Linked DNA regions of Callithrix jacchus. The protein of the gene in region 1 interacts with the protein of each later gene in a biochemical or structural test. Links are inferred from orthologs where the notes say so. Each region holds a gene or a part of one and is shown in the gene's direction. Other genes may lie near its edges.

Region 1 (4,312 bases):
TGCCCGCCCCCAGCGTCCCATCCCAGCGCCCCACCACCTCCGCTCCCTCCCACTGCGTCTGGGGTCAGAGAGACAGGTGGAGAGGAGGCAGTGCCTAGTGCTTTCTGAAGTCTGGCCAGGGGGAGGCCAGGGGCGACCTGGGCTCGGTCAGGCACCTGAGGGGAGGGTGCTGGGGTGAGGGAGACCCGGGGCTGGGACGCGGGCGTGGGTTGCAAAGCGATCCCACGCGTGACATTCTCGAGTCCCTGAACGAGAGAGCTCTGAACTCCCTGGCGCCCAACCCTCCGCCCAGCCAGGCCTCCAGGGCTCCGGGACGCTTCACGCCCGGTCCGCGCAGCGCCTCCCCTGGGGCCGGCGAGAGCGGAGGACAAGGCGGGAGCCCGGAGCCGGGAGGCGGGAGGGTAGGGGTCCTTTCTCGGCCGGGGTCGCCTTCAGCCGGGCCTGCCGCCCTGGGCCGGGGCATTTAGAGAGGGGACGGCGCGGCCTCCTTATCCCGGACTCTCAGCACCCGCTCACGGCGCCGGGAGCCGCCCGTCAGTGCGCACGCGCCGACCCTTCCTTCCCCGGCGGGCGGCGACAGAGAGTCGTGGGCGCGGTCCGCCAGGCTGCCTAGAGCGGCCGCCCTGCCTCCGTGCCGCGAACCAGAAACGGAAGCGAAGCTGGCCCCGCCCCGCGAGCGGCCATTTTGGAGGCTGAGGCGGTGGAGGCGCAGCGGCGGGTTCGGTGGGCCCAGTCCCGGCGCGGTGCGGCTGTTTCGGGCGCGGGCCCCGCTCGTCCGCACCCTGCTCCGGCCTCGACCACGGCGAGCCTGAGCGCGGCGGCGGCCCACGCGCGGCGACAGGGAGAGGTGAGCGCGCTCTCAGGCCTGCGCCGGGTCCTCGGGCCCGCTCTCTACCCCGCCGGAGCCGGCCACGGCGGCGACCCGGGGCTGCGGGAGACCCTGCGCGACGCCCCTCAGTTCGCGCCGCCTCCCGCGGGGTCCGGTCCCGAGCTCTCCTGCCCGGAACCCGAGGTCGGTTACGGCGGGCGCCCGGAGCTCCGGGTCAGGGGCAGGTCGCGGACTCGGCCCCTCGGCCGCGACTCCCGCGAAAGCGAAAGGGCCCCTTGTCCGTTGGGACACTTGCCGCGGCCGCCAGGACGGGCAGCCTTGGTCCTGGTTGGTAAATGGATCCCGGGAGTCTGTCGGGGGAGGGCTGCCCCCGAACGCTGAAACCCCGAGACAACGAGCGTGCCCGGGACGGCGCTCAGGGCCGGTGCGGCTCCGCGCCGGCGGGCGGGGGAGAGACCCGGGCCTAGGACCCGGCCCTGAGCTGCGCGTCCTCCCCGCCTCTGGCCGGGTGTCACCTCCTGGCCTCCTTTTCAGTGCCTGCCACTTAGCGCGTGTGTATTTCACTCGAGGCCGGTTGCCAGCCTCTTGCCGGACCCAAAGAGGAAGCGGCCGAAAGGTCGGGTCTCTGCTCGGTGGAAGGACGGCGAGGAGCGCACGCAAGGCTCGGCTGGGCCTGGCCGGTGGCCCTGCGCCCTGCTCCAGGGGAACCTGCACGTGTAATCTGGCTTCCGGATAGAGGGTCGTGAGGACCTCGCTTAATCCAAAGTCCAGCCCCTGAGCCTAGGGCATGGTTGGGTCTGGGTGCCTGGAATCGCAGTCCGTCACTTGCGTGGCCTGGCACCCCTGACTTCCACTCTAGGCGGGGGCGTGCCTGAGTGACGGGCAGGTGAGCAGGGCAGGTGCGTGCATGAATGAGTGACAGGTGAATGTTCCGCCTCTACCGGCCGGGGCTCCCATCCTGTCTCCGGAGCAGTCCTGGTGGAGCAGAGACTTCCGTGGATTCCTGGGCCTAGGTGTGCCGCTCGCCCGGCCAATGGGTCAGGCCAACGTTTTCTGCCACATCCCCTAAGCAGGAAAGAGCTGTCCAGAGAAAGAGGGACAGGGTGACGCTGGGCAGCCACCACCTCATAGTGCCTGACACGGTTGCTCTCTGTGATTCACCTGCTTTAATGCTGTTTCCGTGTGTTAACTTTTTTTTCTGTGCCTTTTTGTTTTAAAATCATCAGCTCTTTCAGCAGGATGATACTATACACACGATGTCTCTTGTCTGTGAGACGTGTCTGAAGGGAACCTGAGACACATATGCTTCAAACTTGTTCTCAGAGTTTGCTTCCTTTGCGGATTTTTTTTTTTTTTTTTTTTTTTGAGGCAGGATCTTGCTCTCTTGCCCAGGCTGGAGTGCAGTGGTGTGATCTTAGCTCCCTGCAACCTCTGTCTCCTGAGTTCAAGTGATTCTCCCCCCTCAGCCTCCCGAGTAGCTGGAATTACAGGCACCTGCCACCACACTTGGCTAATTTTTTGTGTTTTTAGTAGAGATAGGGTTTCACCATGTTAGCCAGGCTGGTCTCCAACTCCTGACCTCAGGTGATCTGACCACCTTGGCCTCCCAAAGTGCCGGGATTACAGTCTTGAGCCACCATTCCCGGCCCCTTTGTGGATTTTTATTTTCCTTGTCCTTCCTGCTGTCATTTTGGGATGATAAGAATTGAGGGAAATAGCCCTCTGGTTTCCCGAGGCACAGAGAACGCTGTTCTGTGTGAAGCTTAGGAAGGGTGGCTGGGAAAACAGCAGTTGAATCATGAACATGATTTTAAAAGCCTCTCAAAGTAAGTATGGGAGGGAAACTTTCTTGTGGCTGACCAGATGGAACCTGTTTTATTTTTGCACAGCTCTCCATAAACTTTCCTGCAGCCTGGCCACTTAGCTAAGTCCAGACGCAGCTGCAATAGAAATGTCCAGTGCATCATTTTGTATATGGCGGAGTGTTAGCTTCAGGGTGAGCTTTTGAAAGGACAGCCCGTTTGGCGGTGCTGCTTGGGGTCATGGCTGTGTCCACCACCAGGTGTTGGCCCAAGGGGAGCTCCCTGGCCCATTGGCTTCTTGAGCCACGAGCTGGGGATGCTGCTGTGTGGGAGCACTTCCTTCCCGGGTACGACCGTAGCCCTCCTCCTGGGGAGACACTCCTTAGGCAGAGGAGCCTGCCCTTGCCTGTACTGGGGCCCAAAAGGGCCCTGCGTGGTGTATGGGGTCACATGGAGGCCAAGCGGGAGGCATTTGGCAGGGAAATCAGGGAGGCCTATGAAGGCAGTGGTTCCAGCTAGGCCCGGAAGGGCCTAGGAGAGTTTACAGTACAGTCTGGGCTGGGAAACAGCTGTGAGAAGGAGTGAGTGTGTCAGTCAGAGGTTTGGAAGGGGGCCCCGACTGTGCTGGGTCTTGGGATTTAGGAATGAGGAGGGCTGTATGTATGGGCTACTCTGTCAGGGGCTTGGCAGGCAGGAGGAGGTGTTGATGTTTATTTGCTTGGCTGTGGGGTATCATGAGGGTGGCTGGGCGAGTGGGTGATCTGAACAGTGTGTTGACTTAGGGGGTACAAGAGGGCCTTGAAATGGGGAGAAACTAGAAGCTCAGACCTTCTGAACCCACGGTGTTGGGCAGGGGTGGGAGGCTGCTGGAGTGTTGATGGGAGAAGTGATGACATTCTGTGTTTGGACAATGGGAGTGGGAAGGACATGGTGAACAAGGCTTACAAGGGTCAGGGACCCCAGGACAAGAAGCAGAGGTGGGTGGTGCTTCTTAGGCTATGCATTTGGGAGCATGCTGTGGGTGCCCTGGCTGTGCCCTGCTCTCTGGGCCTTGGGTGTGTGGGGTGAGCAGCCAAGCCCTGGCTGTTACCATCCTCAGGTTAGGAGCAGACACTAAACAGCCTGGTGGTGATGGTTCTCTGAGGAGGAATAAACCAGGCAAAGAGGCCAAGAGTCTGGAGATCTCTTGTGGGCGGAGACTGAAGGGAGCCGGCGTATATGGCTGTTCTGCAGGTATGCAAGTTGGTTCTCCCACTGTTGTAAAGATGTATCTGAGACTCGGTGAGACTCGGTCTTCTTTTTTTTTTTTTTTTTTTTTGAGATAGAGTCTTGCTGTGTTGCCCAGGCTGGAGTGCAGTGGCGTGGTCTCAGCTCACTGCAACCTCTGCCTCCCATGTTCAAGTGATTCTCCTGCCCTAGCCTCCTGAGTAGCTGAGATTTCAGGCATGTGTCACCACACCTGACTAATTTTTAGTAGAGACAGGGTTTCACCATGTTGAGCAGGCTGCCTTGGCTTCTCAAAGTGCTCGGATTAGAGGCATGAGCCACCGTGCCAGGCTGAGATTCGGTAATTTATAAAGAAAGGGGGTTTAATAGACTCTCAGTTCTGTGTGGCTGGGGAGGCCTCAGGAAACTGAAAATCATGGCAGAAGGGAAAGAGGCACATCTTACATGGTGGCGG
Region 2 (3,644 bases), on another chromosome or scaffold:
TTTGCACCCACCACAGTCTTACTAGGTCATGTGTAACCTTGAACTTAACCTCTCTGTGCCTCAGATTCCTGCTCTGTAAAATGGGAATGACAGTAGTATCTACCTGACAGGGCTATTGTGAACCACTTGGCATTTACTGTGTGCCTGGCACTGTTTTAAACAAGCTTTAAATATATACGTATTTGCACATTTCTTCCTAGCAACCCCATGAAGTAGGTATTACTGTTGTAACATCTGTTATAGAGATGAGGCATGGAGGTAAAGATGTTACCCTGCGTGCCTGAAGTCACAAGACTAGGTAATATGCGCACAGCTGAAATCTAAACCTGAATTTCTAACATTTGTACCCTCCAAACCACCACACTAATGACTGCAAACTGTCTTAGGAATTCTCAGAGGCCAGAAGCTCTGTCTTGTTTGCTATTTTATTTTTGGAGACAGGATCTCACTCTGTCACTCAGGTTAGAGTGCGTTGGCACAATTCATAGCTCACTGCAACCTTGAACTCCTGGGAAGTGTGTGTGTGTGTTCCTGTTATATTGACCAGACAGGTTGCAAACTCCTGGGCTCAAGTGATCCACCTGCCTCAGCTTCAAAAAGTGCTGGGATTACATGTGTGAGCCGCTGTGTCCGGCCTCTGTCTTGTTTTCTGCCGAGTCCTCGGGGCCTGGATAGGGATCATTTGTGGTTTGGTCTGAGTTTTTTCTTTTTCTTTTTTAAAAATTATGGTAAGATATACTTAACTGAAGTTTTTCTTTTTTATGAAGGCATAACATATCTAGAATGAGGTACACAGATCTTAATATATTTTTAGGCGTGGCTCACACCTCTAATCTCAGCATTCAGGAGACCAAGATGTGAGGATTGCTTGAGGCCAGGAGTTCAAGACCAGTCTGGGCAATATAGCACGGCCCTGTCTCTACAATAAATTTTTAAAAATTAGCCAGGTGTGGTGGCATGTGCCTGTGGTCCCAGCTACTCAGGAGGCTGAGGTGGGAGGATTGTTTAAGCCTGGGAGGTCAAGGCTACTGTGAGCCATGATTGTGCTGCTGCATTCCAGCTTGGGTGACAGAACGAGACTTTGTCTCAAACAAAACAGTTTTCCACATGTGCATAACACTATTGTAACCGCTGCGCAGATAAAGTTCATTGGTTTTTCTTTTTCTTTTTTTTTTTTGAGGTGGAGTCTCGCTTTGTTGCCCAGGGTGGAGTGCAGTAGCACAGTCTCACTGCAAATTCCACCCCTTGGGTTCAAGCAATTCTGCCTCAGCCTCCCAAGTAGCTGGGATTACAGGCAATGTGCCACCACGGCTGGCTAATTTTTGTATTTTTAGTAGAAACAGGGTTTCACCATGTTGGCCAGGCTGGTCTTGGACTCCTGACCTCAAATGATCTGCCCACCTCAGCCTCCCAAAGTGCTGGGATTACAGGCCTGAGCCACCAGGCCTGGCCTTTTTCTTTTGAGACGGAGTTTTGCTCTGTTGCCCAGGCTAGAGTGCAGTAGTGTGATCTCAGCTCACTGCAACCTCCGCCTCCCAGGTTCAAGCAATTCTCCTGCATCAGCCTCCCGAGTAGCTGAGATTACAGGCGTCTGCCATCATACCCAGCTAAGTTTTGTATTTTTAGTAGAGGCAGGGTTTCACCATGTTGGTCAGGCTGGTCTCGAATTCATGACCTCAGATGAACCACCGCCTTAGCTTCCTAAAGTGCTAGGATTGCAGGCGTGAGCCACTGCGCCCGGCCTGGTTTTTCGATTAAGGTGGGGGAGTGGGGAAGGCTGGGGAGCCTTGCAGAACAGCTGTGTGCCGCCTCCTTGCTTTATTCACTAATGATCTTTCTAATGTCTGCGGAAACCCATTTTGTCAACTGTGGCCACATGTAATCCGTTTGCTGTGTCTGCAGTGGGCTCGGGATGAGTTTGAAGGCCTCTTCAAGCAGCCAGCAGAAAACGTCAACCAGTACCTCACGTGAGTAACTTGAGTGCCCTCTTGCCCTGTCCCTCCACCAGCCAGGGCATCCCGCCTGCTCTCCTCATCACAGTAACACACTTGGCACCAGGTATACTTTTCACATGAATGAGTGGCTGCTTGGGCCTCATGCTGTTAGGGGTCGGGACTAGTTTTCCACGGAGAAAGTAAGATTGCTCTGAAGCCCATTCCTGAGGCTGAGGTATAATCCTGTCCTCTCTCTTCAATTCCTGATAGAGACCCCAAGTTTGTGGAGCGAACACTGCGGCTGGCAGGCACCCAGCCCTTGGAGGTGCTGGAGGCTGTGCAGCGCAGCCTGGTGCTGCAGCGACCACAGACCTGGGCTGACTGCGTGACCTGGGCCTGCCACCACTGGCACACCCAGTACTCAAACAACATCCGGCAGCTGCTGCACAACTTCCCTCCTGACCAGGTAATGCCCATTTGTTGGGTGCATTTGGCAGAATGTGTTTCCCTGAAATGGGAGCCTGCTGTGGGCTCTCAGTGTGGGTCCTCAGTCCAGCTGTAGCAGGTGCCCTGAGGCATGGGGATCTGAGAAGAGTGATTGAGCCTGACCTGCTTTTTTCCCACCCTAGTTCCTTTGAGCAAGAGGCTTGGTCGCTGTTTCCCTTGACTGTGGTATGGACTGAGTCATACCTAATTCCCCGTCAGGGCTGTAGGGAGTGTGGGGGAGAAATTCTGGGGTTAAGAGCACAGGAATCAATGTGGGTTCAAATCCAGACTCGAACTTAGGCAAATCACGTAACTTCTCTCTGTACCTCAGTTTCCTCATCTGTGAAGTAGAAATAATAGTAATCTACCTCATGGGGGGTTTGGGGAGGATTAACTGGTATTTATTAATATGAAGTTAGTACAATGCCCTGTAATCCATGAGAATTTGTTAAATGATAGGCTATCTAGCACAAAATGCCTTCCCAGGGATTGGTAATTGTTCTCTCAGCCTGATCTCTGGTTCAACCTTGTGGGACCCTACAGTTGGGGTCATTTGTGGTTGACTCCAGCCCCCATCGAGTACCCAACTCAAGATAGTGAGTTAGGGGCACCTCTGGGGCCTACGTGAAGCGTCAAGGTTGTCAGAGAGGCCTTCACTGTCAGGTCCTGTTCTCAAAAATCTCTTCATCCCTTATAGCTCACCAGCTCGGGAGCCCCGTTCTGGTCTGGGCCCAAACGCTGTCCACACCCGCTCACCTTTGATGTCAACAACGTAAGTCTCCTCTCTGGGGTCTCCTGGGGTCAGGTGGAGGGTGAGTAGGTGGGAAGGAGGTGGCGGTTCCCCACTCAAGGACTATGTGCTCACCTTTTCCTGCCCTGCCTTCTCCTAGCCCCTGCATCTGGACTATGTGATGGCTGCTGCCAACCTGTTTGCCCAGACCTATGGGCTGACAGGCTCTCAGGACCGAGCTGCTGTGGCCACACTCCTGCAGTCTGTGCAGGTCCCTGAATTCACCCCCAAATCTGGCGTCAAGATCCACGTTTCTGACCAGGAGCTGCAGAGCGCCAATGCCTCTGTTGGTGAGGGTGTTTGGCCAGTTGGCCAGGAGTCACCTCCACATGTCCCCTGCCTAGTCCAGCGTCCCCACCAGTCCTGTACCCCTGGCTCTGCTCTGCTCTGGGACCCCAGGCCTGAGGTTTACCCATACCTTCGTTTGAGCCTCC
Region 3 (3,644 bases), on another chromosome or scaffold:
TTATTTACTTTTTTCTTATTTACAGGTCCAAGCATCTCATTTTGAAGGCCTAATCACCACCATAGTTGGGTATATACTTCTAGCAATAACACTGATAATTTGTCATGTATCCTTTAATGAACCAACTTGGGTGTTCAGTAATCTCATTCATACCAAAGAACTCTTCATTAATGGTGAAACTTGTCTCTCTGCTTGTTCTCTTAGTGAAAGTTGTAGGTATTTGCAGTAAGGGTCAGTGTAGACAAAATGTGTAATAAATTAATTCTGTCAAAAAATACTAAGTAGTTGCCTGTTTCATTGTACCTTTACTGAATTTTTCCTTAACTAGATGCTGTAGGGCTTGGCAACTCTTGTGAAATTTCATAGGTCTCGTCGCTTACTAGGAGTCTGCTATATTGTTGTTAAGGTAATTCCTGTTATAACTTAAGATTGGAAATGATTTCTCCTACACTTGGGTGATACTGATGACCTTTATTTTCACTTAAGGTCTCTTTGTTAGTGGTGGTAGAAATTGGAGTCTTCCCTCTCATTTGTGGTTGGTGGCTGGATATCTGTTCCTTGGTAAGTTGAGTATTCATTACTGTATAATAGCATAATTTCAAAGCTTCAGAAAAGGAAGTCTTCAGTGTAGGTTCTTTTTAAAGGAAAGTAAATATTTGATAATTTGCTTATTCTTTTGGCAAGTGTATTAGTATAGGATCTTAATGTTAATTTTTCTAGAGTACCTGAGTTTTTTGAGGCTTTTTGCAAATTTTTGATGTCATGATATTTTGGCTGGAATCTTTCTAATAACTAGTGGAGAATTTTATTACCCAGTTTGCACTCTCAAATTTTTATAGATAATGCTAAGATATTATATACATAGAGAATAATTTGATAAGGAAACTATCTTTGTAGTAATAAATTCCACTCTAATCATTTGGTTTAACTAAGATGCTCAGTCTTGATTACTCTTTAATTGCTGTTAGAGATAATCAGTTTTTGATTTTTTCAAAAATATTTTATGTGTAGAAAAGCTGCCTTTGGTTCTGAGATAACATTTACCCTCCCATACCTTACTTCTAAAACTTAAAAATGCAGACCTGTAACCAAGAAAAGAAGGTTTTACCTTCATCAAAAATAACTCTTTAATAGAATCAACATTAATAAAGCTTTTACCAATTGGTTATCATTCTTTATATCTGAGGCAGTAGCCAATCTTGTATATAGGTCTAGGACACCATGAAATGACATAAATAAATTGCATTTCTAGAAATCATTCCTCGCATACATATTGATTATTTATTTCCTAGAAGATGGAAATGTTAACTTTGCAAATGTAGGGGGCACACATTTCTTACCTGTCCTCTCTTGGCTCAGGAAATGTTTGATGCCACTCTGAAAGATCGAGAACTGAGCTTTCAGTCTGCTCCAGGTACTACCATGTTTCTGCATTGGCTAGTGGGAATGGTGTATGTCTTCTACTTTGCCTCCTTCATTCTATTACTGAGAGAGGTAAGTCTACAGGGAAGTGCTGATGCCATACATTTATCAAAAGGACTTTTGCTTTTACTGCCAGTCATGTCTCAAAGGCTATGATGATTTCCTAACTAAATTATATTCTCTAGTATTTTATTCTGAAAGGGAATAACTTATAGGGGACTTTGACTTGATTGCTTTAAACGGTTTCAGTTGTCTTCATAATCGGCAAGTTTTAATCTTTCTGAGTTGTAAAAATGATTCAACTGAGGAAAAAAGTAAGAGTACTCATTTTATTCTACTTCATATATATTTTAGCCATCCTCTAATACAGACTCTTATAATTCTGTATGATGTGAATGTGTCTCAGACTTCAAGGAAATGTAATGCTGGAAGTAACCGAAAGGATATGGCTTTGCAGAATCGAACATTTAAAATGGTTTTGATTTAGGTACCTTAAGTATAGAATTATAGAGGATTTTTTATGATTCCAATTCACTGGCCTGATGGGTACCTTTATTTATTTAACTAATTAATTTATTTTTGATACTGAGTCTTCCTCTTTTGTCCAGGCTGGAATGCAGTGCCATGATCTCAGCTTACTGCAACCCCCGCCTTCTGAGTTCAAGTGATTCTCCTGCCTCAGCCTCCCAAGTAGCTGGAACTACAGGCACCCGCCACCATGCCCAGCTAATTTTTGTATTTTTAGTAGAGACAGGGTTTCACCATGTGGCCAGGCTGGTCTTGAACTGCTGACCTCAAATGATCCGCCCACCTCGGCCACCCAAAGTGCTGGGATTACAGGTGTGAGTCACTGCACCTGGCCTGATACCTTTATTAATCCTATTTTTGGAATCTGGTTCTTACTGATTTGAAGATGATGAAAGCAGATGAATATTTGATTAGTGTATATCTCAAGCTCAGTCATTCCCCAAATACTGAATGTTCACTGTGTGCCAGACACTATACTGTCTTCTGGGATATCAGTGAGAAACAAAGGCACAATTCCTCAATGTTGATGAAGATGTACAGGGTGTGGAGGAGAAGGTTGACAATTCTAGTGGGAATGGAACGCAAAAGCATAAAGGCTCAATGCTGCTCCTTGTGTGCTTTGCTCTTTGCAAGATTTGAGGAAGAGGAAGAGGGTTCAGGGGCCAAAGCATTCTCCTGAATCATACAGTATGTTCAGTAAATTCTCTTAGTAACTGAAGCTTTCACTTTCTTTGAAACAAATGAGTGCTGTGACACGTACCTGTAGTCCCAGCCATTCAGGAGGCCAAGGTGGGAGGATTGCTTGGGTCCAGGAGTTCTGGGCTGTAGTGCATTATGCCGACTGGGTGTCCACACTAAGTTCGGCATCAATATGGTGCCCTCCCAGGAGCCGGGGACCACCAGGTTGCCTAAGGAGGGGTGAACCGGCCCAGGTCAGAAACGGAGCAGGTCAAAACTCCCGTGCTGATCACACCTGTGAATAGCCACTGCACTCCCACCTGGGCAACATAGCGAGACCCTGTCAATTTAAAAAAAGAAAGAAAGAAATGATTGAGAACTAAAGCAACTGCAGAAACATGTTTCTTAAAAATGTTTCTTAAATATGTGAACTCCAAATTACTTCATTAAGTGAATAAAATGTTTTATAATGTTTTTTTTCATTTTATCAATGTGATGGTCTTTGTTGATATAAAATTTGGAACTTAGGCAGAACCTTAGAAATAATGTATTGTAACTCCCTTGTTTAGAAGATGGAGAACACCAAGGAGGGGTGAAATGGAGCAGGACAAAACTCCCGTGCCGATCAGTAGTGAGATCGCAACTGTGAATAACCACTGCACTCCAGTCTGGGCAACATAGCGAGACCCTGTCTCTAAAAAAACAAAAAATGGAGAAGTTTGGGCACATTAGATGTGTTACAGACGATAGTTCAGTGAGCTTAGACCATGTAGGACTAGTACCCAGACTAGTACCCACATGGAGTAAAGGAGGACCTTTTCATTCACAGGGAGAAGGTATAGATAGTAAAATGAAGATTCGGAGGTTGTAGGGTTTTTAAAAATTAATCCCTCTGTGGAAGTGTAAGACTGAAATCAGATCTTCTATTTAGGACGTTTGTAAATTGCAGCATAACCCTTTTACTATAGTAATGGTTGTAGTCATTTATTTTTCATCTCAGAGGTCTATATTTCTTG

Evidence for each region.
Region 2: of the proteins of UBE2J2 (region 1) and UBA1, one has a biochemical effect on the other in vitro, tested with the Homo sapiens proteins (2 studies listed by BioGRID). The link is inferred for Callithrix jacchus from reciprocal best matches to the Homo sapiens genes UBE2J2 and UBA1.
Region 3: the proteins of UBE2J2 (region 1) and MARCHF6 form a complex in vitro, tested with the Homo sapiens proteins (2 studies listed by BioGRID, with this or other methods). The link is inferred for Callithrix jacchus from reciprocal best matches to the Homo sapiens genes UBE2J2 and MARCHF6.

The regions. Positions count from the first base shown.
Region 1 is NC_133508.1:39,463,310-39,467,621, reverse strand, and holds the start of UBE2J2 (ubiquitin-conjugating enzyme E2 J2), read left to right. Parts: upstream 1-1,445; 5' UTR 1,446-1,715; intron 1,716-3,730; 5' UTR 3,731-3,849; coding exon 3,850-3,864; intron 3,865-4,312. UniProt on the Homo sapiens protein: Catalyzes the covalent attachment of ubiquitin to other proteins. Seems to function in the selective degradation of misfolded membrane proteins from the endoplasmic reticulum (ERAD).
Region 2 is NC_133524.1:48,168,887-48,172,530, forward strand, and holds part of UBA1 (ubiquitin-like modifier-activating enzyme 1), read left to right. Parts: intron 1-1,902; coding exon 1,903-1,967; intron 1,968-2,204; coding exon 2,205-2,400; intron 2,401-3,117; coding exon 3,118-3,192; intron 3,193-3,310; coding exon 3,311-3,500; intron 3,501-3,644. UniProt on the Homo sapiens protein: Catalyzes the first step in ubiquitin conjugation to mark cellular proteins for degradation through the ubiquitin-proteasome system.
Region 3 is NC_133503.1:195,250,737-195,254,380, reverse strand, and holds part of MARCHF6 (E3 ubiquitin-protein ligase MARCHF6), read left to right. Parts: intron 1-25; coding exon 26-106; intron 107-337; coding exon 338-406; intron 407-486; coding exon 487-561; intron 562-1,359; coding exon 1,360-1,494; intron 1,495-3,644. UniProt on the Homo sapiens protein: Endoplasmic reticulum membrane-associated E3 ubiquitin ligase that plays a critical role in mitigating endoplasmic reticulum stress, the regulation of cholesterol and lipid homeostasis, and ferroptosis.